Callithrix jacchus: one gene and its partners. The protein of the gene in region 1 binds, or shares a complex with, the protein of each later gene. Links are inferred from orthologs where the notes say so. Each region holds a gene or a part of one and is shown in the gene's direction. Other genes may lie near its edges.

Evidence for each region.
Region 2: CUL3 (region 1) and KLHL42 share a complex: the UniProt entries of both Homo sapiens proteins name them as parts of the BCR(KLHL42) E3 ubiquitin ligase complex. The link is inferred for Callithrix jacchus from reciprocal best matches to the Homo sapiens genes CUL3 and KLHL42.
Region 3: CUL3 (region 1) and KLHL25 share a complex: the UniProt entries of both Homo sapiens proteins name them as parts of the BCR(KLHL25) E3 ubiquitin ligase complex. The link is inferred for Callithrix jacchus from reciprocal best matches to the Homo sapiens genes CUL3 and KLHL25.
Region 4: CUL3 (region 1) and KBTBD8 share a complex: the UniProt entries of both Homo sapiens proteins name them as parts of the BCR(KBTBD8) E3 ubiquitin ligase complex. The link is inferred for Callithrix jacchus from reciprocal best matches to the Homo sapiens genes CUL3 and KBTBD8.
Region 5: CUL3 (region 1) and KBTBD2 share a complex: the UniProt entries of both Homo sapiens proteins name them as parts of the BCR(KBTBD2) E3 ubiquitin ligase complex. The link is inferred for Callithrix jacchus from reciprocal best matches to the Homo sapiens genes CUL3 and KBTBD2.
Region 6: the proteins of CUL3 (region 1) and KCTD5 are in contact, whole or in part, in a cryo-EM structure (PDB 8U83), measured with the Homo sapiens proteins. The link is inferred for Callithrix jacchus from reciprocal best matches to the Homo sapiens genes CUL3 and KCTD5. Residues at the interface, in NP_003581.1 of Homo sapiens: Thr24, Met25, Asp26, Glu27, Lys28, Tyr29, Val30, Asn31, Ser32, Ile33, Trp34, Asp35, Leu36, Leu37, Asn39, Ala40, Glu43, Asn48, Ser50, Leu52, Ser53, Glu55, Glu56, Leu57, Arg59, Asn60, Ala61, Tyr62, Thr63, Met64; in NP_061865.1 of Homo sapiens: Trp45, Phe55, Leu56, Thr58, Thr61, Arg64, Asp65, Lys67, Ser68, Pro96, Thr97, Tyr98, Phe99, Gly100, Pro101, Leu103, Asn104, Tyr105, Leu106, Arg107, His108, Gly109, Lys110, Leu111, Val112, Ile113, Asn114, Lys115, Leu117, Val122.
Region 7: CUL3 (region 1) and KLHL21 share a complex: the UniProt entries of both Homo sapiens proteins name them as parts of the BCR(KLHL21) E3 ubiquitin ligase complex. The link is inferred for Callithrix jacchus from reciprocal best matches to the Homo sapiens genes CUL3 and KLHL21.

What each region holds. Positions count from the first base shown.
Region 1 is NC_133507.1:146,311,872-146,315,920, reverse strand, and holds the start of CUL3 (cullin-3), read left to right. Parts: upstream 1-1,243; 5' UTR 1,244-1,559; coding exon 1,560-1,625; intron 1,626-4,049. UniProt on the Homo sapiens protein: Core component of multiple cullin-RING-based BCR (BTB-CUL3-RBX1) E3 ubiquitin-protein ligase complexes which mediate the ubiquitination and subsequent proteasomal degradation of target proteins.
Region 2 is NC_133510.1:43,423,100-43,426,627, reverse strand, and holds part of KLHL42 (kelch-like protein 42), read left to right. Parts: intron 1-1,393; coding exon 1,394-1,845; 3' UTR 1,846-3,528. UniProt on the Homo sapiens protein: Substrate-specific adapter of a BCR (BTB-CUL3-RBX1) E3 ubiquitin-protein ligase complex required for mitotic progression and cytokinesis. The BCR(KLHL42) E3 ubiquitin ligase complex mediates the ubiquitination and subsequent degradation of KATNA1.
Region 3 is NC_133507.1:29,916,418-29,920,515, reverse strand, and holds the start of KLHL25 (kelch-like protein 25), read left to right. Parts: upstream 1-1,278; 5' UTR 1,279-1,431; intron 1,432-4,098. UniProt on the Homo sapiens protein: Substrate-specific adapter of a BCR (BTB-CUL3-RBX1) E3 ubiquitin ligase complex involved in various processes, such as translation homeostasis and lipid synthesis.
Region 4 is NC_133516.1:48,792,274-48,796,581, forward strand, and holds the start of KBTBD8 (kelch repeat and BTB domain-containing protein 8), read left to right. Parts: upstream 1-1,495; 5' UTR 1,496-1,575; coding exon 1,576-1,591; intron 1,592-1,790; exon of another isoform or gene 1,791-1,904; intron 1,905-2,206; coding exon 2,207-2,417; intron 2,418-2,869; exon of another isoform or gene 2,870-3,875; intron 3,876-4,308. UniProt on the Homo sapiens protein: Substrate-specific adapter of a BCR (BTB-CUL3-RBX1) E3 ubiquitin ligase complex that acts as a regulator of neural crest specification.
Region 5 is NC_133512.1:1,770,121-1,774,217, reverse strand, and holds the start of KBTBD2 (kelch repeat and BTB domain-containing protein 2), read left to right. Parts: upstream 1-1,297; 5' UTR 1,298-1,298; coding exon of another isoform or gene 1,299-1,366; 5' UTR 1,367-1,632; coding exon 1,633-1,802; intron 1,803-4,097. Other genes in the region: uncharacterized protein LOC144578307, read left to right, coding at 1,299-1,366. UniProt on the Homo sapiens protein: Substrate-specific adapter of a BCR (BTB-CUL3-RBX1) E3 ubiquitin ligase complex that acts as a regulator of the insulin signaling pathway, modulating insulin sensitivity by limiting PIK3R1/p85alpha abundance in adipocytes.
Region 6 is NC_133513.1:4,170,733-4,174,260, reverse strand, and holds part of KCTD5 (BTB/POZ domain-containing protein KCTD5), read left to right. Parts: intron 1-109; coding exon 110-205; intron 206-2,552; coding exon 2,553-2,678; intron 2,679-3,528. UniProt on the Homo sapiens protein: Its interaction with CUL3 suggests that it may act as a substrate adapter in some E3 ligase complex. Does not affect the function of Kv channel Kv2.1/KCNB1, Kv1.2/KCNA2, Kv4.2/KCND2 and Kv3.4/KCNC4.
Region 7 is NC_133508.1:44,496,628-44,500,628, reverse strand, and holds the start of KLHL21 (kelch-like protein 21), read left to right. Parts: upstream 1-1,185; 5' UTR 1,186-1,237; coding exon 1,238-2,258; intron 2,259-4,001. UniProt on the Homo sapiens protein: Substrate-specific adapter of a BCR (BTB-CUL3-RBX1) E3 ubiquitin-protein ligase complex required for efficient chromosome alignment and cytokinesis.

The sequences.
Region 1 (4,049 bases):
GGAAGATGACAAACTTTAGTAGGCACTCACATACTCCCTTGCAGAGTCAGAAACCCAAACATAACAGCACTTGGGCAAGTAGGTAAATGAGGAAGTACAGTTCATAATAAATGGACAGCAAAACCATGAGTCAGATTAGACATTTTGAATATAAAATGATCAAACCCCTCTCCCCCAAAACCCAAAACTTTTCAAATATACAGCAACTGTATCAGACAGTAATTTTGGCTTTAAAAACCTACAGTACTCTTGGTAATAGTAGAAATGACTCATCTGGTTGGTTAAAGTTAGGTTTCTATCATTCCATTTAACATCATTTACCAAATGCTGCATTTCATTAATGGAGCTGTTATTTTTTTCTGATAGTAATGAAAAACAGGTTTTAACATTAATAAGCCCGGGGTCCACCAGAAAATATCAGTGAATCAAGAGGTCCCGAAGCTTTTGCAGTTTAAGGGAACTTTGTAGATTAAATTTCCACCCTCCAGTCCTGAGAGCTGTTGTGTGGACACCCAGTCCGAATACCTTGTTGAGCATACAGGACAGTAATTTCCGATCATGCAGGTAACTCCTGCACAAACTCTTCGTTCTAGTTGCTGGCTTCTGCTCAAGTACCCATCCCTAGTCCATATGCCCTAGAAAAACATAGGAACCAGTTCGGGACGTAGTTATCCATCTAGCACCCCACGCTCCTCCTCAAGACTAAATCTTGCCCCAGCCCAGTAAGGCCCAGCCCACTACAATCCTGCTCCTGCTCTCCAAACTTCCCCCGCCCACTCCCCCCACGTGACCAGGAACCCCCCTCCCCCCCAACCCCACTTGAAGTTCCACCAATCAGCAACCACCTCCGCCCAGAACCGGGGACCTGGCGCTCCTCTTTCAAAAGGCAGCTTAAACCTCCCGCTCTTAGCCACGCCCTCTTTTCGCTACCCCGCCCCGCCGGCCCCTACCACTCCCCCCAACTCCCCATTCCCCTCCTCCCCTCTGGTGGCGTCCTCCCGCTCCCGGGTTTCGCCCCGCCCCACAAGGAGTAGCGCGCTCGCCCTCTTCTCGCGAGATCTGAGCGTCCCCGCCGCGGCCGCCCGCTTCCCCCTCCCGTCCTCCCACCTCCCTCCCCCCGCATCTCTCACTCTCCGGCTCTCCTCCCTCCCTCCTCCCCCCTCCACCCTCTGGGCCGGATCTCGTCTCGCTCAGGCGGAGGAGGAGAAGGAGGAGGAGGAGGACGACGTTCGGCCTGCGCAGTGAGATGTTTGTCCGTCGCCGCCGCCGCCGCCATCGCGGAGGAGCGCGATAAAGGGAGCGAAGCCGGGCCTGAGGGGGACCCCGTGGAGCAGCCGCGCCAGCGCAGCCCCCCAGCCGCGTCGGAGCCGCCGGAGCCCGAGCCGCCGCCGTCCCCGCCGCCGCCGCGGCTGCTCAGGGGCCGGCCAGCTCCCTAGCCCTGCCCGGGTCCGCTCCGCCACCGCCCCCAGCGTCGCCCCTCGCCTGCCCGCCCGCCTTAAATGTGACACCGGCGCCGCGGAGCGCGACCTGAAGCCGCCGCCGGGTAGGGGACGAGCACCATGTCGAATCTGAGCAAAGGCACGGGCAGCCGGAAGGACACCAAGATGCGGATCCGGGCCTTTCCGGTGAGTCTCTCCCCGGCGTCCGGGACCCCGGGGCCGGGGGCCGAGCCGAGAGCCGCACGCGAGGCCCGGGCTGAACTCCCCCAACAGGCCGCAGGCCCGGCCTCCCCTCCCCCACGCCCGCCGGCCGCGAGGCGCGAGCCTTCCCAGCAACCGGGCGGCGCGGGGCCCCGGCGCGGCCGCCCTCCCGGGCCGTTCCCCGCGCCGGGAGCCCGGGCCTGGCCCCGCGCCCCCGTCTGCGAGCTGCTTCTCCAGCCGCCTCGTGGGCGTTGGCTGCGGCCGGAGCCCCTCGGCCGCCCCACGCCTCCCCACGTTGCCGGGGTGTAGGGCCAGTCTCCGGCTTTGCTGGCTGCGGCGGAGTCCTCCCTGTGTGGGGCATGTGTGCAACTTTTCACGTGGGGTTTCGCTGCACTTTCCAAAATAACCCAGTCTAGCTTTTAGGGTGATGAAAGGGCTGCCCTCTCTGTCCCCCTCCCCAGGAAGGGCTCTGCCCTCAACTTGCCTCCGACGCAGTGACAGTGGTTGCACGGAATGCTCTGTGATCATAAACTAGTAACATGGGGTGTATTTCATCCCGCAAGCCTCCTAAGCACTTTACAAACTCTTGTGCAGGATTGCCTCGCCACTCCGAGGAAGGCCGGGGGAAAGCCACAGGGAGCAAACCGGGCAATTGGTTCTCCATTTCTCAGCCTTGGGAGCCCAAAGAATGAGCTTAGTCGCCTTGTGGAGTTGCTTTCTTTCATCGGTTTCAGTGACAGCAAACGCGTTCTGCTCAGAAACTTACTTTTTTGGCATTAGGTTGAGTCGTACCCTTTCAGTGTTTAGGACATAGGGTATAACTTTGGGTGTCATATCTGATTCAGATACCTGATGGCAAGCAATTAAAATGTACTCTTGTTAACAAACTGGACATACTTGCCCATGTTGCTACAATAAAAGGCATACATCAAGACAGACCAACTAGCAATCGGACAGAAGATTTTAAAAAGTAAAATTAGAGAAAGATCTTGGTCTTCCCGTCTTAGATTCGCAAATACTTCATATGATGTGCAGGCATAAGAGAGGGATTTATTGTCACTTTTTAAAGCATGCTTTTCCTGAAGTGCCCTTGTAGTGGGGAAAAGACTTGTTATCTAAATATGATTGCCCCAGTTGAGTCAAGTAATTTAGTCCCAGAGAACCTGAGGACCTCTGAATTCCTAAAATTGAAAAGGATACACCTGATGTAGAATTCTGAAATGCAAGAACATTAATACTAAAGTCAGTGTGAGGAAGCTTCTGCTTTCTGTAAATAGGTACGATGTATTTGGGAGAATTAAGTGTTTTTGATAATAAAGGCTTTTTGAATGTTTCAAACTTTTTTCTAAGTAAACGTGAGAAATTACATCAGGAAGTCAGCAGTGTTGACAGAGTACTAACGAAGTTCACTAGTATGTTTTCCTTTATAATTGGGCAAAGAGCTGGCTTTATGAATTTGTGAGTAATATTAATAATTTTCCTGCTAAATTCTGACCATTTTAAAGTAGAGTTTAGAATTTAGAATTTTATGAAGTTAATAGTTTTGTACAACAGATTTTCTAGGAGTGTTTGCGGTCCTACACTCCTCATTCTTGAATTCGAAAGTTCTAAAGATTTTTTTCTAAAACGTGGAGTAACTCACATTTGACATCGACTCACTCAGGTTAATGGCCTTCTGATTGACCAGTTGTACTTCCATCTGTGTTTAATCAAACTCTTTGATGTCTACAGGTTTCCCTGATCTTACCTGTTTTGCCATCATTTCATTTGTTCAACAAATACTGAATATTATGTGCCAGGCGGTCTTGTGAGGGTTTGTCAGTATAGCTAAAAAGACCAAGATCCCTGCCTTCTGGAGCTAGTATTGTTGAGGAGAAGAGATGGGAGAGAATTTCATATTCCTTTAGCTGACCAGTATAATAAAATTGTGTGATAGCTTACCACGTAGTACTGGAACTGAATTTTTTTTTTTTTTTTAGCTTCGTTTATGGTTATGAGCTAATTTGGGCCTATTCTGTCTATAACTTCTCTTTCAGGTTATATGTAAGTGACTAGTTTTGATATTCAGTAGTTAATAGCTGTTGATTTCTAAAATTTTTCATTACTGTTTAATAAGTATTAATAACATTCATAAGTGGTTCCCATTGAAAATAACAATTCTAGTTTGGCCGGGCGTCTGTGGCTCACGTCTGTAATCCCAGCATTTGGGGAGGCCGAAGCAGGCAGATCATGAAGTCAGGAGATCGAGACCATCCTGACCAACACGGTGAAATCCCATCTCTACTAAAATACAAAAAATTAGCCGGGCATGGTGGTGGGTGCCTATAGTCCTAGCTACTGGGGAGGCTGAGGCAGGAGAATTGCTTGAACCCAGGAGGCAGAGGTGGTGCCATTGCACTCTAGGCAACA
Region 2 (3,528 bases), on another chromosome or scaffold:
GAGAAAATGAGCTGTCTTCTCTTACCAGCATCTGCAGCCATCAAAATGTTGTAGGCTTTAGTTGTCTGCCAGTGCCCAAGCTGAGCTGTCTCCTTCATGGTTAGGATTTATTGTTTAGAAAAAACAGCAACATTCTGTTTATAACTCAGAGCATTTGTGTTTTCTGCTGAAGCTAAAATACTCATTTATTCTTTCCTAGAGGAGAAAAGAAAAAGAGAACAATTAAAAACAAGAAAAGCAAAATTAGATATTCTAAATTTCTTAAGCATTTTTCACAAAGAGACTAGGCAATTTTTTTCCTTAAAGAAAATCACCTTTTTTTTTTTTTTTTTTTTGAGACACCAGGATCCCTGTCACCCTGGCTGGAATGCAGTGATGTGATCACAGCTCACTGCAGCCTCACCCGCCCAGGCTAAATAAAGCCATCCTCCCACCTCAGCCTTCTAAGTAGCAGCTGGGAACATAGGTGCATACCACCATGCCTGGCTAGTTTTTTATTTTTTTTGTAGGCGGGGGGGGGGCGGTCTCACCATGTTGCTCAGGCTGGTCTTGAACTCTTGAACTCCTGGGCTCAAGCAGTCCTCTTGCTTCAGCCCCCTAAAATGGTGAAGTCCTGAGACACCATGCCTGGCCAAAAATCATTATTAATTAAAAATGCCAGAGAAGCCTTTTATCTAGACTTTGATGTTTTCTACACTGCAACTATCTCTTGGGAAATGGGAAAAGGGAGAGGGAGGACCTTTGTTATTGTCTCTCTGGTGATATAATTGGGAAACTAAGGCTGGGCATGGTAAAGACCCAGTCTTTACAAATAAAAACAAATTGGAAAACCGAATTGCCAAGTGATTCTGTGGCTTGGTAGAAGGCTGCAGGTGAGACTGCTGCGTTCCTCCTGACTTGTAACGTTGTGTCCTTTTCACTAGACAGCCTCTGGAGAGCCTATGTTGCTACTTGTCATGTTTCTTAGGATCAGCTGTCAAGGACAGATGTAGTTGCTGATCAGCCTGGCTTCTGTATTAAGTAGTCGGTAATTTTGTAGCTATTGATGAGAGTTCTGAGGCACTTAGTTTTTTTGCCCTGACCTGGTGGTTCAAAGGTGTGGGGGCGGGTACCAGGGAGGAGGGGCTGTGTGAAAGTCAGAGCTGCTCTTTTCCCTGGTTTTATCCAGTCTGAGTCTCCCAAGGAGATATTTGGGAGGAGGAGGCGAGTGTGGCTGGATCTAAATATATCTCTTCCCAGCCATTTTGAAAACTGTTTTACCAACTTGTGCTTTTTCCGAAACAGTTTTTTCTCTTTGTTACCAAATTATGCAGGTAGAGGTAGACATTTCTGGGCAGCCTCGCCTAATGGTGTTAGTGGGGGCGGTGTCATCACTTATCTTTCTTTCTTTCAGACCGGAACATGAACATTTTGCAGTACTGCCCCTCTTCTGACATCTGGACCCTCTTTGAAACTTGTGACGTCCACATTCGCAAGCAGCAGATGGTGTCTGTGGAGGAGACCATCTATATCGTGGGGGGGTGTCTCCACGAGCTGGGGCCCAACCGCAGGAGCAGCCAGAGTGAGGACATGCTCACCGTGCAGTCCTACAACACCGTCACCCGGCAGTGGCTCTACCTCAAGGAGAACACGTCCAAATCGGGTCTTAACTTGACTTGTGCACTCCATAACGATGGCATCTACATCATGAGCAGAGACGTCACCCTGTCGACCAGCTTGGAACACCGAGTGTTCCTCAAGTACAACATCTTTTCAGATAGTTGGGAAGCATTTCGGCGTTTTCCAGCTTTTGGACATAACTTGCTGGTGTCTTCTCTTTATCTGCCCAATAAAGCAGAAACATGACTGAATTGAATTCGTAGATGAAAGAAACTGGTTCAAGATTTTTTTTAAAAACGTAGTGTCCCATTGCAAGGGAGACTGATTCCTAAAGGGTAAAGAAGGGTTAAAATAGGTCACATATATACAGTAGCAGCTGTAAATAAGCTTACTTGAACTAATTACTTGAAAACTTGTGGAAAAAAGAGACCAACTTTGTTATTTTTAAAATTATTGATTTTTAAATTATGGGAGCAAATCTATCTCCAGACATGATACTCTTGGGCCAATGACGGATCATCAAAATATAGATTCATTGTGACTGCATGGTAAAGGGCCAAAGTCAATAATTGGAACAAATGGTAAAGATGATTTTTAAAATCTGTTGTATTTAGGTCCCTTTACATATCATTAGCACCTTATGTGAGAGATTTTCTTTTTCTTGCCAGTATACTTGACAAGCATTCGTATTAACATATTCATTCCCTCTTCTCCGTCAAGCATACCCACACATACATCTAGTATGTTTAAAATAGGGTTCTGTGTTCAGATATTTTGTTTGCACTCTACTTCTTAGGAAACTTACAATGATGGAGCCCTACAATGAATCCTTGCTAGTGTTCAGTCCTCCTCAAAACTTGCATAAAAACATTCTCAGCCATTTTTCCAGCCTTCTTTGCAGGTACAAATGCTGGATTAATAGATTGATACAACCTCTTATTTTATTTATGTGGCAGATTACATATTTATGTGGCCACATAGGTTGCATTGCTAGGTGTTCTGTATTTTAAAGAGGATATATTATTTAGAAAAATGAATATATGAATATTTTAAAAAATTGAGTCTTAAATTTAAATGGGAAGGGAAGAAAACACCAAATAAGACATAAATTTGCCTTTGAGAGTTACTTTTATTGAATGTATTTGACTTAGTTCTTATTTCAAGACTTAAAAAAAGTTTACCATATTTAAGTCAGGCAACTAATTTAATCTTAGCTTTGTAATTAATGTTTTGCTTTTGTGGACTAAGGTAAGGACAGCATTTAAACATAGGTGCTGGAGTAAGGAAGAAGCCCTTACAGAAGTGGAATGGCTTCTGGTAGTATTTTTGAAGTTAGGTAAAGTGCTTTACTTGCCTTGGTTGTGAATTGAAATAGAATGCAGCTCAAGCAGTTGTTTTCACTGAGGGAGTTAACAATAAAAGTTTCTGCCAATCAGATCAGCATTCTTCAAAAATATATATACTCATACTTACAGAACTTTTATTTTGAGTGAAAAACGCTCTAAAATTATCTGATATTTTGTAATCCAATCAGTTCAACTGTGAGCTGGATTCCATCATTCTGCAATAACAGCAGGCAGAACCATTTCAGTTAGTGTGTGCCTCACTTTAAGAAAATCCTGTTGGGGGAAAATCACTGTCAGCAAATTCATGCATTCCGCAAACACTTATTGAGTGCCTGCAATATGCCGTCCACTATGCAGATGTAGGACGGGGCTAATTACTTAGAGTTTTTCAGTTTATTCTAGGAGTCACTACAGGGTTTCTTTACAACCATGGCCTCTAGTATACTTAAAATAAGGGTCCACTTATAAAAAGCCTCTTTGCACAACTTTTTGGGAATACTTCTATTAAGTTAAATGAGGTAAGCCATTATTTTGGACATAGAAACAGATCTTTGTATCTTGTCACCAAATAATCTTATCTCTA
Region 3 (4,098 bases), about 120 Mb from region 1:
TCCTTTGCTCTTCCCACCTCCATCAGGGTGACCTCTGCTTCTCGGCATTTCCTGGCCCCAGACTTGCCTCTTATGTTCTTATGTTCTTATCACTTTCTATGCTTTACCTTTTGTATCCTTTTTTTTTTCTTTCTTTTGAGATGGAGTCTGGCGCTGTCGCCCAGGCAGAGTGCAGTGGTGTGATTTTGCCTCACTGCAACCTCCACCTCCCGGGTTCAAGTGAATCTCCTGCCTCAGCCTCCCAAGTAGCTGGGATTACAGGCGCCTGCCACCAAACCCAGCTAATTTTTTTTTTTTTGTATTTTTAGTAGAGACGGGGTTTCACTGTGTTAGCCAGGCTGGTCTTGAACTCCTGACCTCGTGATCCACCCGCCTGGGCCTTGCACAGTGTTGGGATTACAAGCCTGAGCCACCACGCGCCCGGCATCTTTTGTATCCTTAAGCGACCTACTTGAATTTCATCAGGAGGGAGAAAAGAACGGGCATTTATTGAGTACTCATTTTGTCTGGGAGTTTGTCTCCTTTAATCCCCCAAATAATCCGATGAGGAGTTTTTTTTTTTTTTCTGCCACTTTACAGACGAGATTGGACACATACAGCAAGTTGAAGTAGCAGTCAGGAGGGAAAAGGAGGAATCACACACAGTTCTTCCCCTCCTAGACGAGAGCATCCTCTGGGCGTCCAGGAAACGTTCCTGGAAGAAATTATTGGATGGATAGATGAATGAATGAACATTTAAAGGCTGGCTTACAAAAGAAGTTTAGTGAGAAATGACACAGAGAGGAGGTCTGAAATACCCCGAAAAATACAGATTTCAAGTACAGGTGGGATTTAGGGACTGCAGAAAGTCCCAAACATTCAACAAGCCCGGAGTGAAAGAAAGGGTTTCATTAACACTCTGGCACTACAAGTATGGCTCCGCGGAGTCTAAAGACACCTAAGCACTTGTGACCCGAATACAAAAGTAAGAGGCACATGCCATCTACAACGCTCCCTCCGGAAAGCTCTAGGACGCCGTCGCGCTTCGTTCCCAAACTCGGGCCGCGGGGGCGGGAAGGCGCCTGTCTCTTTAAGAATCTGGTTAAAGTCTTTTTCCTTTCCCCACCCCGCCCCGGCCTCCCTCCGGCGCGGTGCCGGCGCGGCCTGGACGCCCACCCCTTTGTTCTCTGCGGCTGCACTGACGGGTTCAACCGCCCATCCGTCACAGAGGCGTTGCCTCTGATTGGCTGCTGCGCTTCAGGCCGGGAGGCGGGGCGGGAAGGCCGGAGAAACTAGTTTGTTGGCTGCGCCTCGGCGGTACCGCAGCGGGAGCGTTTGGGTTGTGGCGAGCTGGTCGACGCGAGCGGCGGCGGGGCCTGCAGAGCTCGCGCGGGGGGCCGGGGGTGGTCTCTGAGGTGGCGGCGGCAGCGGCGGCGGGGAGTGACTGCGGCGGTGAGTACCCGGGCCGGGCGGGGACGCCGTGCTTTGGCCGCTGCACCCGCGCGCCCGCTCCCTGCGCTGGGGACTCGCCGCCTCGGGCCGGGCCGGGACCGAGCGCTCCGAGCCCCCGCGGTGCTGCGTGTCCCGGGAGGAGCGAGCGCGGTTGGGGCGGGGGCCCTGGGACAGGCGTGGGGGCGGCGGCCGGCCGGCACCCCGCGGCCCCGCGAGGGAATTCGCCGAGAGCCCTGCGCCGGGGAATGAATTGTTTGGCAAATGGATGTTGCTCGCGGAAGCCGCTACTCTTTCCCCGGGGAGTGGTTGATTCATTGAGTCCGCAGACTCTCTTTTTAAAAAATTACTATTGATCCTGGAAAGAAACACTGCTTGTCTTTGAGGATGCGGGCGGCAAAGCCCCGCGCCCCGGACGCCCAGGCCTTGCCTGCCCTTCGCAGAGCGAGGGCCTGGGGTTCCCAAGGGAAGGGTCTGCGCGGGCCTGGCCCCGGAGCCCCGGGCCGTTCACTTTCCGCCTGCCGGGGTCCCTTGTTTCGGTTTGCAGAACTGTCCAGCGGCAGAGAAAGGTCGCACTCCCGAAGGCACACCCACCTGTCCACCTGGGTGGAGGCCAGCCTGGCAGGTCCAGAGCAAGCCCTCCATCCTGACTCTTCTTCCCACGCTCGCCCTGGCTCCGATACACCACCGCGCGGTGTTACGCCCCCACTCCCCCCACCCCACCTCGACTCCTTCATAGTTGCTTTAGAAGCTTTTCTTTTGCGGATGGTGTCCTGGAGACACCAGATACTTTTTTTGTGTTCCTGCTCTAAAGCCCCCGAAGTCTATTCCCATTGTCTTTGAACAAAGAAAAATCTCTCCAGAGGCCTGACCCAACGGACTGTGGGTGAGGGGGCGGACCCAGGCCCCTGCAGGTTTAATCTGGACGCTCTTGGTTCCTGCTGGATCCTGGTGGTTTTGACCTTGGGGAAGGCAGGCTGGGCTTTGACTCCCCGGTAATCAGGGCAGAGAATGCCAGGTGTCTGGACCATTTGGTTTCACTCTGTCGGTGCAATAGAGGGAGGGAGGGAAGGAAGTTAGTGACACAAGAAGAGGAGGCAGGATCCCACGGTCTGTATTCTGGAGCAGATTCCAGTGACTGTGATGAGGCCAAGCCCTTTGGACCCTGGGCCCCACTCTTCCCATTCATACGGAGAACTGATGCTCAGTATGCCGATCTGAGCTGTGAGCTTTCCTGGGGTGTTGGTGAAGGCTTGCTTTGGTGTCTAGGGAAGAGTAGGACACAAAGTGACACCACCTCAGGGTCCACTTGGTGTCCTAAGACCGGGGGCCCTTGGGTCCACAAGCTGTGCCTGTGAAGGTTGGTGGAGTCAGTCTTTTTCAGGTCCGGTAGCTATTTCGGTTTTGAGTCATTTGTCAGGCAGTGACTCCAGGGAGGTTGATAAAAGCGAGGTAGAAATGGAAGACACCTTCATCCTAGGTCTCGGGCTGCAGTTGGATTTATGTGTGTGGTGTGGAAAGAAGAGCTGCGGGCAAGTTGTATGCTCCACATCGAAGGCAGGTTCTGCAGCCGGATGCCCTTTAATGGCATTTTAAATCTGTGGGTACCCCGTGTGGGCAGAAGAGAGCAGGAAGAAAAGAACAATTACCCAGTGAAAGCAAGCTTGGTTCTTCCCATCTATCACTTGGGTAGGGGCAGGGGGTAAGGGTAGGATGAGTGAGAGTGTTATTTAGTGGGTGGTTAGTTACTGATTCATTTATTCATTAATTGTTTGAGCAGACTTGATTGGGCACTTGCTGTGTGCCAGGCCCTGGGTTAGGTGCTGGAGACTCTACTTTTAGTGAGCACCTAGATGAGGGGGTGCTGGCACATGGATTGGGGCCCTGACACATCTTAGTGATAGAGGTAGCAATAGCAGCGGAGAAGACACAGGTGGGCAAGGCTTCCTGGAGAGAAGATGCTTTGACTAAGAAGCGAAAGGCGAGCCACAGCCCAGATTCCAGATTCCTTTCTCCTGTTGCTCACCCATGCTTCTCCCAGAGGCATTGACGACCTCAATTGGCAACCTCAAGATAGGCACAGGTTGAAGTCTTGGAAAATGCAAGTGGAAGGTGGTGGAAGGTTTGCTCTGTCTATAGTGCTGGCCGCACGGTCAGCAGTCCAGGGCATTTGCAGGAAACTTGATGGCTTATGGATGCATCGTGTCTTCTCGGGGGTTCCTGGGAGAATCTACCCTTCTAGTCCCAAAGACCAGCCCATTGTCTGAGCCCATAGTCACTTTGTACCAGCAAGCAGTGTAGGCATAGCCTGGCCATTGTGGGCAGAGCTGGCACAAGAAAACAGAGTGGCCAGACACAAATGAATTGGCTGATTGAGATGCTGGTTTTCATCTAATGTGGTGAATTTCATAATTTAATTGCCTCAGTCAGCCAAGGCTGTTGAAAGGCATTTTCCCCACCAGGAAACACTTAGTTGGAACAAGCTAGGGGAAGAGGGGGGAGGTGTAGGGGAGGAGGGAGGAGGGAGAACTTAAGCATCCACAGCTTTCAGTAACAGCATCCCAGCAGGAGTTATCAATCAGTATCCATCCCCAGGTGATGGAAGTCAGCCCCTTCCCTACAGCAGGTTCCAACCCCTTTCCTGGATTGCCTCATTGCCATACCAACCTA
Region 4 (4,308 bases), on another chromosome or scaffold:
ATGAAAAAGTAAAGTTATGAGTAACAAAAATTAAGTCAATTTCATCCATCCAGAAATGTGCAGACAGGACATTCACAAAGAGGAAATTATAAGCGCATATGGGAATGCATAAACCCCTGTCATGAGGAAATACCACTTCTTGTTAATTTGCATGGGGTTATAGTATTTTGAGTTCTAAATTTCTCAGCAGACCTAGGGGACAGAACTGAATTGTTTTTCAAAATTCTTTCTCTTTCTCAATAACAATTTAAATTCCAAGATCCTTTATCAAGAAGTTCAACTGTTTAATCTTTTCAGTGCTAGAAGATTTATGCACACGGGCTAACTATATGCCTACTAGACATTCTTGCCATTCACTGATACTTCCTTACATTTTAACAGTCTAGAAGTAACATTACCAATGTTAGCTCATTTGCACCTTAATCTTTAAAATATTAAGCATCTATAATGTGCCAGGCACCCCATCAGATGTTAGAAACACAAGATGAGTAAATCAAAATTTTGATTTTCTTTCCAAAGGGTTGCAGCCTATGAAGTCCATAGAATACGTATTACTATCACTTCACGTTACAGGTGAAGGATCTAAGTGGTTAAGGATTGAAAGGTCTTATGTCAGTTCTCACATATAGTGACTAAAGAGCCAGGGCTTCAGTAATCATCCCTGGCCCCGGGCTCAGGGCTCTCCGGTATTTTTTTCAAAGGAATTCCCAGAATACTTAGTATTGCATCCCTCCATTTTCCAAGAGCAAAAAGGAAAGCATCTGGGATCCCTCTATAATGTTCACGTGCGGAACAGGTGTTCTCTGGGTGCGCTAGAAAAGCAAGGCACGAGTGGGAGTTAAATATCCTAAACAACCGCTCTAACCAGACCAAGTTAATCTGTGGAAACCAGAGTACCGGGCCAAGGCGATGCTATTTCAATTGGGTGTCACAGGTGACTCATCAGAGACGCCTTGCTTTTGGGCCTTCCGATATTTTTCTTCAGGGTGGGGCGTCATATTTCCTTTGCATTTTTGGACAACAGCCCTCCTGTACATTTCCAAATTTTTCAGGTTTTACAGCTCTCACGCAGAGCTTGATTGCATACCGGAAGCCAGTCAGTGGCAGGAAGTTTACGGAAGAAGAAAAAGGTAAAAAAATGAGCCGGGGGCCAGGAGAGAGGCCTAAAATGGGGACATTCGCACTTGAAGAGCTTTCCCTACCCCAGCCCCTCAGAATGACAGTTCTCCTCCGCCAGAAGACTACCTCTCCCGGCAGGCACTGCGCGCTCGACGGCCACAGGCTGGCTAGCTCCCTGCTCTCCACCTCCGCCCGTATCTGCCAATAGGAATTCCCGGGTTGGGCCTCCGCCCAAGTCTGACCACGCGGGAGCGGGGGCAATCAAACTACATTACCCGTCACGCATATGCTCGCGTCGAGACCAATCAGTGCCAGAAATTCGTAGGCTAGGGGCGGAGCCAAATGCACAGTACACCCCATTGGCTAGGGGAAGCTTAGAAGAGCCGGAACCCGGGAGCTGGAGAAGCGAAATGACATTTCCTCTTTAAATAGCTGGAGCCGGGGCCCCATCGAGAAATGGCCGCGTCGGCAGGTGGGTTGTGTGGTGGCCAGGGCGGCGTGGAGGGAGTTGAGGGGGAAGGTTGGCCGGGGCCGGCCATAGGCGGTGGGATGAAGAGGTAGCGGTGTGGAGCCGGAGGGAAGGATGAGGAGGTAGAGGGGAATGAGGGGAGGATGAATGGTGCGGAGGGCGGTGGGCGGTCCGGCGGGACAGGGATGGGGAGGCTGGGTACCCGCCGTCGCTGCGACCCGGGAGGCAGCGGGAGGCGGCTTGAGGGGGCACCGGCGGTCGCCGTCGGTTGAGCTTCCTTCGTGAGGCTCTGCCCTCGGCTCTCGGCGGAGTTCTCGCAGACGCCTCACATGGGCTGCGAGCGCGTTCCCTCCGCGAGCACGGGCGCCGGGCTCGCCGGGCTCCGCAGGAGCAGGCTGGCCTTTGAACTTGTTCCGCCGATGGCGCTCCGCCCTCTGTCTCCTAGATCCTAAACTCGCGGTCCCACGAGGTCGTGCGTATATCCACAGACATATATGTATATATATATCTTTGTAGCGGGGAAAAAGCCAAGCAAGCAAACACACAAACAAAAAAAAATCCCGCGACGCCGTAACTGGCTCGGCACTTCTTGTGGTTGTACGATTTTTCTCCTCCTAGATTTAAGTAAATCTTCCCCAACACCGAATGGGATTCCATCTACAGACCCAGCCAGCGATGCCATGGACCCCTTCCATGCTTGCAGTATTCTTAAGCAACTCAAAACAATGTACGATGAAGGACAGTTGACAGACATTGTAGTGGAAGTGGATCACGGGAAAACATTTTCCTGTCATAGAAACGTTCTTGCTGCAATCAGCCCTTACTTCAGGTATGATGATGGTAGGAACTTGTGTCGGTATCTGCACCAAGCTCCCTTCCCCCCTCAGTATTGTCCACTTGATGTTTATACTGAGATGCAATAATGAAATGAAACCAATGGCTTTGTTTCTTGAGACTAGAAAACGGGTCCTCTCTTTTTAAGACCTTATTTTGACTTGAGGGATTCTTCTAGCGTTGAATTTTAAGTTACTGGGTCGGTGTGTGTGTTTGAGGTAATCTAGACTTGTGCTGGTCAGTATGGCAGCCAGTAGCCATGCGTGGCTGTTTAAACTTAAATTATAAGTTAAATAAAATGAAACATGTAGTTCCTCGGGTCCCCAAGTACACTAAACACTTTTTTTTTTTTTTTTTTTTTTTTTTGCGACAGAGTCTCGCTCTATCGCCAGGCTGGAGTGCAGTGGCGCAATCCCGGTTCACTACTTCCGTTTTCCGGTTTCAAGCAATTCTTTCTCAGGGCTCCGAGTTGCTGGAGCTATAGGCAGGCACCACCACGCCCAGCTAATTTTTTGTATTTTTAATAGAGACGGGGTTTCACTGTGCTGGCCAGGATGATCTCCATCTCTTGACCTCGTGATTCGCCCGCCGCAACCTCCCAATGCGCTGGGATTAAGGCGTGAGCCACCGTGTGGGGCCACTAAACATGTTTTCGGTGCTTGGTGGTCACCCGCAGCTAGTGGCCGCCATATTAAACAGCACAGAGATACAACATTTTCATCACTGGCAGTTATACTGGACAGTGCTGATCTAGAATTATTTTCAACAAGTTATCCATAACGCATGTTTCTTTAGTACATGGGACTCTTTTATAAAAGGGTTTAAAACATAGTAGTGTGTTCCTTTAAAAACAAATTACCATTTGATAGATTGTTTTAATGCTTTGGGGGTCAAAGCAGTGGAATAAAAAATGAGTAAAATATAGTCTCTACGTGCCTAAGTCCCCAAATTAACAATTTTCAATATTTCTAGACGTATGCTAAACTGTTTTTATTTTTACTTTTATTGTTTAAACTTTTAAAAATAAAATTTAAAAACTGGGGGCTGAAAAATAACTTCCTACTTTAAAATTAGTGGGAAAGGCAGTTTACTGTGTGTGTTTAACTTCTTTTGTGCTACCTGCTCACTTGAAGCTTTTCCGTATTCACAAGTGGTGCATAAATAATAGTAAAGTGTTCAACCGCACTCTGAATGTGATTTTTCCTTTTGAAAGTGCTTACCTATATAGGGAACATAGCCGTATAATGTTCCAACAGTAGTTTCTGGTTCCTCTTTCTCAGAATACTGGGTTAAATATAGTCATTTCAGTTTGATGCTTGTGATGTAACCATTTAGACTTGCCTAGGCTAGGTCATTGGACTACTAAGTATTAATCATTGCAATACGGAAAAAAAAAAAATAAAACCCACGTATGCAGAAGGTATGAAGTTTGGCCTGGTAATGGAAACTTCTGGTGAGATTCACTTACACAGATTATCTATTAGATATGGTTAGGTCATTTGTATGTTTAAATATACGTTACAATTACTACTTATCAAGCTTACTTTACATGTATTGCCTTATATAATCTTTATAATCCTATTTCTGCACAGTTGTTGTTCCATTTGACTTAGGAAGAAGCTGAGGCTCAGTGAGATTAAGTTTTAATAACACGCCTAAATCATCTATCCAACAAGCAAATGGCCGAGGCTACATTTGATTCCAGAGCCAGGCTTCTTAGTCAACATGTGACTCTTAAGAAACAAGAGTGGGTACAGTGGGTCCTTTTTAAAGTTTCCTGTAAAACATTTTTACTATATGTTACATTTGAATGGTTAAGAAAAACTGCAAAGTGAAAATGTCTATATCTTACTGAAGTTTAATAACCCAGATTATATCATTTAAAT
Region 5 (4,097 bases), on another chromosome or scaffold:
AGTTACTGTAATAGTATAGTTTGGCAGGAAGTAGCTGTGATACCGTCTTTGACATAATGGTATTTTGTGACAAAAAGTATTAGTGATTCTAATGATGGAGTCATTTCTCATTATGGTAACTAAGGGTCATCCTAATAAGAGAGTTGGTGAAAAAAGAAGTGGTAGTTTTTATATTTAGCATATTGGTAGCATTCTATTTGGGATTTTCCTCTTTTCCGGATTTGTAATTCCTTTGCCATATGTTGTAAATACTGAGTTCCAAGTAAATTTTTGCTCAGCTGGAATTTTATTTTTTTGGGTAAATGATAGGCAGCATGACTAAAGCCTGAGTTTTGTTTTTATTCCCCCTTTAGCAGTTGGCCACATCCAACATTATTTGTTTGAAATAAGCCGTTCTTCCTAATTTGAAATGCCATATTTACTTTCATCCTATCTAATTTCTTAGATACGATGAAGATAAATGCCTCGTTCGGTTAATGGGAGTTTTATAATACACTTTATATTTTCATAAAAATCTTGAAAAACTTGCCCCTTTTCTCCTCAAATACCTTGGCAACTTTTGTGCATTCTTCCAGATAAATCCCTTGGAAATAGGATTTAGATTGGATTTGTGCTAAACTTACATATTAATTTGGAGAACATTCATATTTGTGTAATATGGAGTTTTCTGGGTAGGAACACTTTTTTTTTTAAGTAAAATTATATGCTCTTATTCATAAAGATTCCTAGGAAAGAACCACTCTACAAAGAGGTAAATTGCATACACTTCTCTTATAGAATTTAATGGCAAATTTGAAAATATATAGCTTATACTTTGAAAATAAACAATTTGAATGTATTTGCCATATAGTTTAAGTAATTTCAATTAAATATGAAGACTTTGTGAAAATATTTAAAAATATATCCAGAGAATGAGAACCGCTGTGTAAGAGAGCAGGGTTTTTTTTTTTTTCTTACATATTATGATCATTTATTGTTACCAAACAAATAACTAGGAGAGCTGGCTTTGGTAATTTATTTTGAAAGAATACTTATTCACGTGTTTGTTATTTTCTACAACATGTATATTTTGTATAGAAGGCGAAAGTTAACTTGAAATTACAACTGGTAATTTTCTTCTGTTTTTCAGTTTTAAATGTAGTAGACTTAAGAATCTTCATTTTTGTCATGTTTCACTTTTATGATGTCTAAAGTTGAACTTCAAAAAATATGATTTCTATTTAAGGCTGCCATTTTAAAGATTGTATTCTAAAACTGTGCTGGCCTAGATATTACAACTGAACTTTTTTTCTTTTTAGTTACTCTGCAGGATCCACTGAACATAGGATGTTGCCACAAAGTCTACCTCGTGTATTTTTCTCTTTGACTCATGAGCTGTGCAATTGCAGATTGAGCACAATGTCTGCAGACTGTGTTGAAACACTCTGAAGAACCTATGAACACAGGATGACCTAGGAGTGATTCTAAGTCTATAACAAGATACTCCTCACTAGTGAATGTGTCAGTCTTAGTGCTGAATGCTGCAGATAACAGCAAGTAGTTTCTCCTTTATTTCTGAAGTGTTCACTTGACCTTCCATCAGTAAGACGGACTTTTCTAATCTGGCCTGGGAGATATTAATGGAATACAGTCATGTCCACTCAAGACGAGAGGCAGATTAATACTGAATATGCTGTGTCCTTGCTGGAACAGTTGAAACTGTTTTATGAGCAGCAGTTGTTCACTGACATCGTGTTGATCGTTGAGGGCACCGAATTCCCTTGTCATAAGATGGTTCTTGCAACCTGTAGCTCTTATTTCAGGTAAGTACTTTTAATGTTTTAAACAGAAATTCTTTGAAATATTATTTAATTTTTAAAAAAAGCCACATCTCAATGTTGTGCTTAAGTTTTCTATTCAGATGATGTAGTTCTTGCCAAATCTCATTCTTGCATGTGTAAGGGACATATGAAAGAAATTTTATAAAGGTTTAAATACAAGAAATGTGTTGCAATTAACTAAGGTGAAGTTTTAATGTTGGGAAGGCAGAAAGATTTAGAATATTTCTAAACAAAAATAAATGGGATAATTTACACTTTGAGATTCTAAAATGCTACCTTTAGAAAATAGTCATCTCTGTTTTTAAACTGACAAGTTATCATAGGGTCAAATAGTAGTTTTTAGAGGGTAAAAATTGGTGCTGTTAAACCTGCTAATACTTTTCTTTGGAAAATGTATTTTTCTCTTTGTTACTATTACCATTTGAGATAGTTCTTTTTACCAACTAGACTTCTTGCCAGGTTTAAATACTTAGTAACTAGTAACATTGTTGGTGTTCTCTCTTCCTCTGAACATAGTAGAAGTTAATTTAGCTCCTCATTGCTAATAACAAATGTGTAAAGCTTAACTTTACATTTCTATGATCTTTTGCATCTTTGTTGTACCTTTCCTGAGCAGAATAGAAGCCAAGGCATAGAAATTGCTTTATTTGTTCTTTGCTTTTAGGTTATTTTTGACTTAATATTGGAGAGAGGGAGAATAAACTGAATTAAATGTGGACCAGCATATTTCTATTACAAATACGAGCAGCCATAAGTAGCAGTCAGCAGTAAGTTTGGTTATGCTGTTCTTTAATGGCAGCTATAGATAGGACAGATTTCATTTGACCTTTCAAGGCTAACTTACTTGCATGAAGATACAGAAACTTCACATTCCCTACCGCATTCCATGATGATTGCAGAATCTAAGGCCCAAATACCAGTAGCCTTTGCTATGCCTACACAATTTTTTTTTAAGACAGGGTCTTAATCTCTTGCCCAGGCTGGAGTACAGTAGTGCTATCTTGGCTCACTGCAACCTCTGCTTCCCAGGTTCAGGTGATTCTCGTGCCTCAGCCTCCCAAGTACCTGGGATTACAAGCATGTGCCACCATGCCCAGCTAATTTTTTGTGTTTTTAATAGAGATAGGGTTTCACCATGTTGGCCAAGCTGGTCTCAAACTACTATCTCAAGTGACCTGCCTGCCTTGGCCTCCCAAAGTGCTGGGATTGTACGTGTGAGCCACTGTGTCCAGCCCAGTGTCTGCAATTTTTGTTTCAGGTTAAGCTGTGGATTTTTCATGCAATTTCAGGCGCTGATTTTCTTGTCTGTTAGAAAGTGTAGCCTATTTGCAAATAATTGTTCTACAGCCTCGCTGATCATGAGAATCCTCTTGTTGGGTGCTTTTACAATTGGAATATCTTGGATTTCAAACACAGAAATTCTGATTGAGTGGGTCTGGGTTATGGAATCAGAATCTATATATTTAAAAGCTTCCCAGGCTGAGTGTGGAGAGAGAGAGAGAGAGAGAGAGACCCAACTGATCCACCTCAGCCTCTCAAGGAGATATAGGCACACACCACCACTCCTGGTTCAACTCTGGGAAAATCTTTTTTTTGAGATGGAGTTTCACTCTTGCCCAGGCTAGAGTGCAGTGGTGCTTGGCTCCCTGCAACCTCCACCTCCCAGATTCAAGCGATTCTCCTGCCTCAGCCTTCTGAGTAGCTGGGAGTACTGGTATGAGCCACCACGCCCAGCTAATTTTGTATTTTTAGTAGAGACGGGGTTTCACCATGTTGGTCTGGTTGGTCTCAAACTCCAAACCTTAGGTGATCCGCCCGCATCTGCCTCTCAAAGTGCTGGGATTACAGGCATCAGGCACCGCGCTCGGCTGAGTCTGGTCTCTTAATACCCGATAGATACCCCAAGGGACAGCTGTGTATTACCTGTAAAGCAAACCAGATGTTTAGTAAATAGAATAGTTCAATATGTGTTTGAGGTTGAAGCTACCCATCATTAAAATCTTGTGCCTGGGACACTTTCATATCCACAAGAAGAAAACGCCTACGTATTTTTCCTCCCATATGCTGTATATCTTTTTCTCTGGACTGGGTAGGTTATTGTGTATTTCCACAATAATTTGAGCTTTTCCCAAGTGTTCTTCAACTAGATTCTGCTCTCAGAATTGTAGATTTCAAGATCTTTACATGTAATGGTGCTATACATCTTTACTGTCAGAGATTTTTTCTTTTGAACTAAATACATTCTTCCTTTGTAATTTGAGTTACCAATTCTGTCTA
Region 6 (3,528 bases), on another chromosome or scaffold:
TTGGGCCGCTAGCCCTGCACTGAGAACTGGAGGGTGGACCTCAGCTCCCCGGGTCGCCGGGGCTGGACACAGGCAGCAGCGGGACTTGTGTGGCCCGTTGTTTTTGCAGGTGCCCGTGAAGCATGTGTACCGCGTGCTTCAGTGCCAGGAGGAGGAGCTCACACAGATGGTGTCCACCATGTCAGACGGCTGGAAGTTTGAGCAGGTGAGGCCCCTGCCAGGCTGACGGCAGCCACGCTGCAGCTGGACTTTTACTCACACTGGCTTAGGGCTCAGTGCCCCTGGAAATGTGGGCTTCGCTGCTGGTGTCCTTCTGCAGTTCTGGGGGTGCTCACGACAGTGTCCTGTGTCCTGTTCCCACTGGAAGAGCCATGGGAGTTTGGGCGGGGTGGGCAGAGGTGTCTCAGGCCCTGCCCCACACCCTCCCCTCCTCCCCGGCCTGCCGTTTGCAGCCCTTCTCACTCAGCCTCTTCTTCCCACACTGCACTTTCTGTGTATCACCTGGCACCTCTGTGTGTCGGGGGGATTGGCGTCCCCAGAGCCTCGTGGCCGGCCTACCACCCAACGCAGCCCCGTCCCCTGCAGCTCACTCCAGTGGAACAGATGGATGCTCTGACGCCCTTCTCAAGCTGCCTCCCCTTCCTGTCTTCGCAGGAAGGCACTGCCAGGTCCCTGTTGCCTTCTCACTCTGGTTTGGCTGAGCTACGGCATGTGGGGCTGAGGGATCTGTGCAGGGCTCGCCTTCTCCGGCAGCTTCCATAGGAGCCACTGTGCTGTGGCACTGTGGCCTGTCGTCGTTGGGGACCTCAGGACATGTGAGGATGACCTCTGACTGGGGGCCCATGCCCACGATCTGGGTGCCACTGTTCCTACTGTTGCTGATGCTAGGCAGACAGGGTGGGGACAGTGACAGTGTCCTCTGTCACTTGCTTCTGTCTAGGGCAGGTTCTGTCCATGGCCCCGTGGCCCTCCAAGGCTGTGGGAGGGACAGGCTCAGCTAGTGTCCCTTTCCTTTGAGTCTTTCAAAATAATATAACACATTGTAGGGTACTTGGAGCGCCCCTTAAAATGTCACTAAAGACATTTGCGTCCCACCATCCATGCTGGCCCCCCAGGCTTGGTGACTGGGTGTTTGTGCTGATGGAGCAGCTCGCTGGCCCGGGCTGCCCTGCACTGGGGGCCACATCTTTCTCATGCTCTGACCGCATCAGAATCGTGCCAGAGCCTCACACAGGAACGGAAATCGCTCCTGCCCAGCGAGCCCCACCTCCCAGTTGTCCCTTGGTGGGGCTGGGTACCTGGGAAGCCATGTCATCAGTTCGGGGACCGAGAACACCTGTGCTCTTCTGCCACTACCTTGTGACTTTCCTAGCTGGGAGGGAGCGAGATCTCCTGCCCGTGGTGGTCACCTGCCCCTCCCCGGGGCAGCTCAGATCTTTGTCCTCAGTGCTTCTGGGTGGAGCTGGTGTCCTCCCCCTTCCTTATGACCCACATGACAGACTTCATCCCTCCTGGTTCATGTAGAGAAGCCGCTGGGCTGACCAGCTGCCCTGGCTGTGGGCGGGACCCTGGGGGGTCCTGGGAGGTGGCCAGACCGGACCCAGGGTCTCCAGTGGTCATTGGGACTGCGAGCAAGGCTTGAAAGTGGCCGACGTGCCTGTCAGGATGCAGGGGCTCAGTGGCCGTGGCCGTGAGTGCTCCCAAGTGGGTACTCCTAGCTGCTTGGCCCCATGCCAGCACCTCTGTGGCTGCCTCACTGGGCTGGGTCCACTGTCAGCAGCCACACAGGAACAGCAGGTAGCCCCAGGCCCCCTTCCTGGCCATTGGTCCGACCATGCAGGTCATAGGTAGGGAGGCCAAAGTGTGAGCACCAACCAGCTGCTTTTTGGCTCGGTCATTTGCTGCTGGCCTGCTTACCATGATTTGCATATTGCCTTTTAATTTTCCCTTCAATAGCACAGAAGTGCCCTGTGGCCTGGGGTAGCCACCCATGGGTCAGATGCCTCGCCAGAGAGGGGTCGGCCCTGGGCCTGCATGGCCTGGCCTGCCTGGTGACACAGAGGGAGGCAGGTTAGAGTGGCCTGAGGTGTGCCCAGCCGGCTGCAGCAGACCCACCCTGGCTGAACTCCGGACAGCACAGCTCCTCGGCGGCTTTTGGTCCTGTCAGCCAAGTCCCCTGCTCTTCCCTCCAGGTTTTCAGAGCTGCCCTCCACTCCCCTCCCGCTGCCCCTCTCCCTCCGACCCAGCTCAGGGACCCTTCTGCGTTCCCTCTCCATTGGCAGCGGCCCCTGTTTGCCCGTCTAGAAGTGCCAAGGAAAGCCTGGTGTCCCCGCAGAGGAGGACCTGGCTTGTGCCCCGCCCCGGTGTGGGTGCCGTTGTGTGTGCTCATGCGGGTGTTCCAGGAAGTGGTTTTCCATTGGTTTCCTCAAGTGTCGGCGGTCTTCTCTGTGGCTTTTGCGGTGGCAGGCGCGTCCTGAGCCTGGATGTGTCAGCTGGGCCACGTCCCTCTCAGGCCTCACTGGGCTGCATCTCGGGCTGTGTCTCCCTTGCAGCTGGTCAGCATCGGCTCCTCTTACAACTATGGGAATGAAGACCAAGCGGAGTTCCTCTGCGTGGTGTCCAAGGAGCTGCACAACACCCCGTACGGTACAGCCAGCGAGCCCAGCGAGAAGGCCAAGGTCAGTGCTGGGGCGGCCTGGCGGATGGGGAAGGTTCCTGCCCTCTCTCAGCTTCCTCTGTTCCTGCCGTTTTCATCAAGCCCCTGTCTCCGCCCCTGGTGACCTTGCTGACTTTTCGGAGGCATGGTCTTCCGTGGGACGAGGCCTCTAGACCCAGGCTCCCAGTAAGCCCCTGCGGGAATGCCACTGAGGGCTGTGTCTCAGGGGACCCAGAGTCCTATGTTCCCAGGGCACAGCCTCTGGTGTGTGAGGACTTGGGACATTGTGGCCTGGCTGTCATGGTGGGTGTCTGGGCCCATCCCTGAGTTCAGGGATGTGGGGGTCCGGCTGTTGTGTGGTGGGAGTCTGAGCCATTCCTGAGTGCCAGGTGGGCCCCCTGGCTCAGCCAGTGCCGGCCCTGGGATTCTCAGGCTGCACAGAGTGGGGCCCTGTGTGGCACCCAGCCTGGCAGCACCGGCATAGACTCTGCGGGGGCTCAGGCCCGTCTATTTTCTGAGGGCTGGGCAGCTGGGGTGAAATACAGGGATCCCTGCCTTGTTTACTTTTAGAATGGCCCCATGGCCCTGCCCACGGGTGACCCATTCTGGTGGCATTTTCTCTGGGTATGTTCTAAAGGTTGAGGCTCCAAGATGGACAGATGCATCCATGTGAGCAGATTCCAGCCTTGGCCTGGGCCAGCTCTACCTGGCAGGACTCCCAGACCCCAGAGCCACGTGGTGGCTGGAGAGCCCTTGGTGGCCTGCTCTCTGGGAACTCCTGGGGTCTGCATGGGTCTGGGAGAGCCTGGATGGTGGGGCCAGCTCTGTGGGCAGCCAGCCTGGGGTGTGAGCCCTGGGCTCACCAGTGACCC
Region 7 (4,001 bases), on another chromosome or scaffold:
GGTCTCTTAAAACTCACCAAAACCTACCTTCCTCTGAAGAACCAAGGAAGGGCTCCTTTTTTTTTTTTTTTTTTTTTTTTTTTTTAGATGGGGTTTCACCACGATGGCCAAGCTGGTCTTGAACTCCTGACCTCAGGTAATCCACCCACCTCGGCCTCCCAAAGTGCTGGGATTACAGGCGTGAGCCACCGCGCCCGGCCGGGAGGGCTCTTTTTTCCCTACAGTGACGTTCAAAGTGGTGCTGTATCTATTGGAACTAAAATAAGGGTAATTTCTTCTTTTCACCATTCCCCCGTCTCAATACAAGCGAACCGGACTGTGCTGAGTGGCGTCATCTCCTAGTTTCAAGGCGGTCTCCCATCTGACTTTGAGCCCTCGCTCTCTGATCCCCCAGGGCCTCTCTCATGGAGTCTGAGCAGCTGTTGCAGGGAGGCCCGGGAGCCCCTGGCAGGAGCAGCCCAGGAGCCTGCAGCAAAACTGTAACTACGCCTGAAGCCAACTAAAGTGAACGCCAGTGTTGCTGGGTTAGAAGCTCCTGCACGAACACAGGGGTGGGAACGACTCCTGGAATCCGGCCCCGGATAGCTTTTAAATGCGCCAAGAAAAAACGTCACTGAAAAACTTGATACGCGTTCTTGCTTTGGTTCAGAATGGTAAAATGCCTATCCTGTGTATCCCGTGACAGGGTTAACTAGCAACCCTTGAAACTAGTGGAACTCAAAAAGCAAAACAAAAAGCCATTGTATCCAGCCGCCCCGGGACCTGGGCCGGCGCCCTTGGGAAGTCTGGCGCGAAAGGAGGGGTGGCTTCGGTTTCAGGGCCGAGCTCGCCTCCTCCGGGTTGGGTTCAGTGGCCGGGTGGGTCGTGGGCAACCCCGGGAGGCCCCTGGTCCCGGCGCGCGGCTGGGCCGCCCACGGAGCTGGCACTTGTCACTCGCCGTCCCCGGCACGGGAGTCCGTGGGGAGACCCGGAAGGGCGGAGGGAGGGACCGCGGCGATTCACCCGGCGGAGCCGGGGGCGGGCGCCGCGTGGGGGGCAGGCGAGCCCGCGCTCGGGGCGGTGGCGCCGGGCACGGAGGGGTTAAGGGGGCGGTGTCGGCGACGCCCCGCCTCTCCACGCCCATCCTGCTTCCCTAAGGGCCGCGGCGCCCCGCCCTATTTATAGCAGCGGTGCCGGGCTCGCAGCGTGTCTCCGCAGGCCCCGGCCGCGGTGTCCCCGAGTTCCGAGTGTAAGTGCCATGGAGCGGCCGGCGCCCCTGGCCGTGCTGCCCTTCTCTGACCCCGCGCACGCCCTCAGCCTGCTGCGCGGCCTGAGCCAGCTCCGCGCCGAGCGCAAGTTCCTGGACGTGACCCTGGAGGCAGCAGGCGGGCGCGACTTCCCGGCGCACCGCGCGGTGCTGGCCGCAGCCAGCCCCTACTTCCGCGCCATGTTCGCCGGGCAGCTGCGCGAGAGCCGCGCCGAGCGGGTGCGCCTGCACGGAGTACCGCCCGACATGCTGCAGCTGCTGCTGGACTTCAGCTACACGGGCCGCGTGGCGGTGAGCGGCGACAATGCCGAGCCGCTGCTGCGCGCCGCCGACCTGCTGCAATTCCCGGCCGTGAAGGAAGCTTGTGGCGCCTTCCTGCAGCAGCAGCTGGACCTGGCTAACTGCCTGGATATGCAGGACTTCGCCGAGGCCTTCAGTTGCGCGGGGTTGGCGAGCGCGGCGCAGCGCTTCATCCTGCGCCACGTGGGCGAGCTGGGCGCCGAGCAGCTGGAGCGGCTGCCACTGGCGCGCCTGCTGCGCTACCTGCGGGACGACGGGCTGTGCGTGCCCAAGGAGGAGGCAGCCTACCAGCTGGCGCTGCGCTGGGTCCGCGCTGACCCGCCGCGCCGCGCCGTGCACTGGCCGCAGCTGCTGGAGGCCGTGCGCCTGCCCTTCGTGCGACGCTTCTACCTGCTGGCGCACGTCGAGGCTGAGCCGCTGGTGGCGCGCTGCCCGCCCTGCCTGAGCCTGCTGCGCGAGGCGCGCGACTTCCAGGCAGCGCGCTATGACCGCCACGACCGCGGGCCCTGCCCCCGAATGCGTCCTCGCCCCTCCACTGGCCTCGCCGAGATCCTCGTGCTCGTGGGCGGCTGCGACCAGGACTGCGACGAGCTGGTCACTGTCGACTGCTACAACCCGCAGACGGGCCAGTGGCGCTACCTAGCCGAGTTCCCAGACCACCTGGGCGGGGGCTACAGCATCGTGGCGCTGGGCAATGACATATACGTGACGGGTGAGTGGGCCGGGGGCTGGGCAGGCTCTTTGGGGTGGAGCCTCGCCCGTGCGGTAGCCCAGCTACCCGCAGAAGAAATGTACAGACCCTGGAATCCTAGGGCCGCACCTGAGTCCAAGCTGGGGCCCGGGTGACTACAAAGCACTGGCCGGTACTTTTCAAGTATCACCCTTGAAAAGTATCGCCGCTTGTATGAGCCGGGACAAGTAATTGCTTGTGAGTCTGTGACCCGTGAGGCCGGGGTGCCAGGCTGAGCCAACTCCGTGCCCCGAAGGTGCCTCCCCACTTGGTTGGAAGATACTGGGGCATTCACTCCGCACAATGGCTGCTTTCTTTTTCTCCTTAGGGAATCTAGGGAAGGGCAGGAGTCTGACGCCCGGTGGTGAGGCATCTGTTCTCCCCCAGCGGGGGAATGTCGCCCTCCCTGCTGAGCCACCCGGGCCCCCTGACTCACTCTTTGTCACCGGTGACACGGTTCCCTTGGGCTTGCACCTAGGCGCTGTGCTGTGGTCACATGGTGTTTAGGCTGCCCTCCCCAGAGACTGTAAACATGGTCACATGTTAGAGGTTTTCTTCCAGTTACTTGGCCCAAGCCCGAAAACACTGCCGAGTCATGGTAGGCGGGTCCCAGGCCGCCTGGGTTTGGGCTTCTCCTGCAGTTTTTGTTGAAGATAAATCCCAGTTTAAACAGGAGGCTACCTCCTTCCCCGGGGTGAGGAAGGGCGGGCTCTGTAACTGCTATATAAGGAAAGAACCCACCAGGCAGGCATGTGAGGCAGTTATCAGGCAAGGAGGTGGGGACTGGGATGTCACAGTTGCTGTGCCCAGCCTTACATGTTCGCCAGAGAGCCCACTCTGGGACGTGCTCTGAGTTCCAGTGGGACTCTGAGCTGTCAAGTGTGACAGTTGCTGGGCTCTGGCCACAGCTTCCTTGCCCTGCAGCTCTGAGTCCAGCCTCTGCTGGAATCTGCCAGTAGATTCCTCTTTCCAATCTGAGGTTGTCCCCAAGTTGATTGGAGACGGTGTCCCTCCCCTCTCCCCAAAGTCTGACGAATGTCTTTGAGGAGAGGATTGCTTCCCAGAACTACTCAGACTCGCCCCAGCTTTCTGCACACCCTTCCATAAATGTCTCAGCAGAGCAGTTAATCCCTTGGGTTTAGGCAGGTGGCTGGGTAATTCCATTCAGCTGCCTTTCACACAGCTCCATGGAAGGGAGGAGGCCGGCAGAGTGCACTTCCTAAGAACAAGAACTTGCTCTTCCTTTAGAGCTCAGGGCTGTGAGACAGAATGTCCTGTCTGCTCTGTCCTGGTGGTGCCAGTCTGGGAGGCCAAGGCGTGCAGCCCCAGGATTCTTGGGGTCCCTTCCTGTCCTGGGGTTTCTAATAGCCCTTCTAGACCTGGTATGATTTATGATTACAGCTAGTAGCACTTTTTATTGAAACTAAAAATACAGGGCCGGGTGCAGTAATCACATCTGTAATCCCAGCACTTTGGCAGATCAAGGTGGGTGGATCCCTTGAGCTCAGGAGTTTAGGACCGGCCTGGGCAACATGGCAAAACCCTGTCTCAACAAAAAATACATAAATTAGCCCAGTGTGGCAGCGTGTGCCACCTACTCAGGAGGCTGAGGTGGGAGGATTGCTTGAGCCCAGGAGGTGGACGTTGCAGTGATCTGAGATCATGCCACTGCCTTCCAGCCTGGGTGGCAGTAAGACTGTATCAAAAAAAAAAAAAAAGTAATTC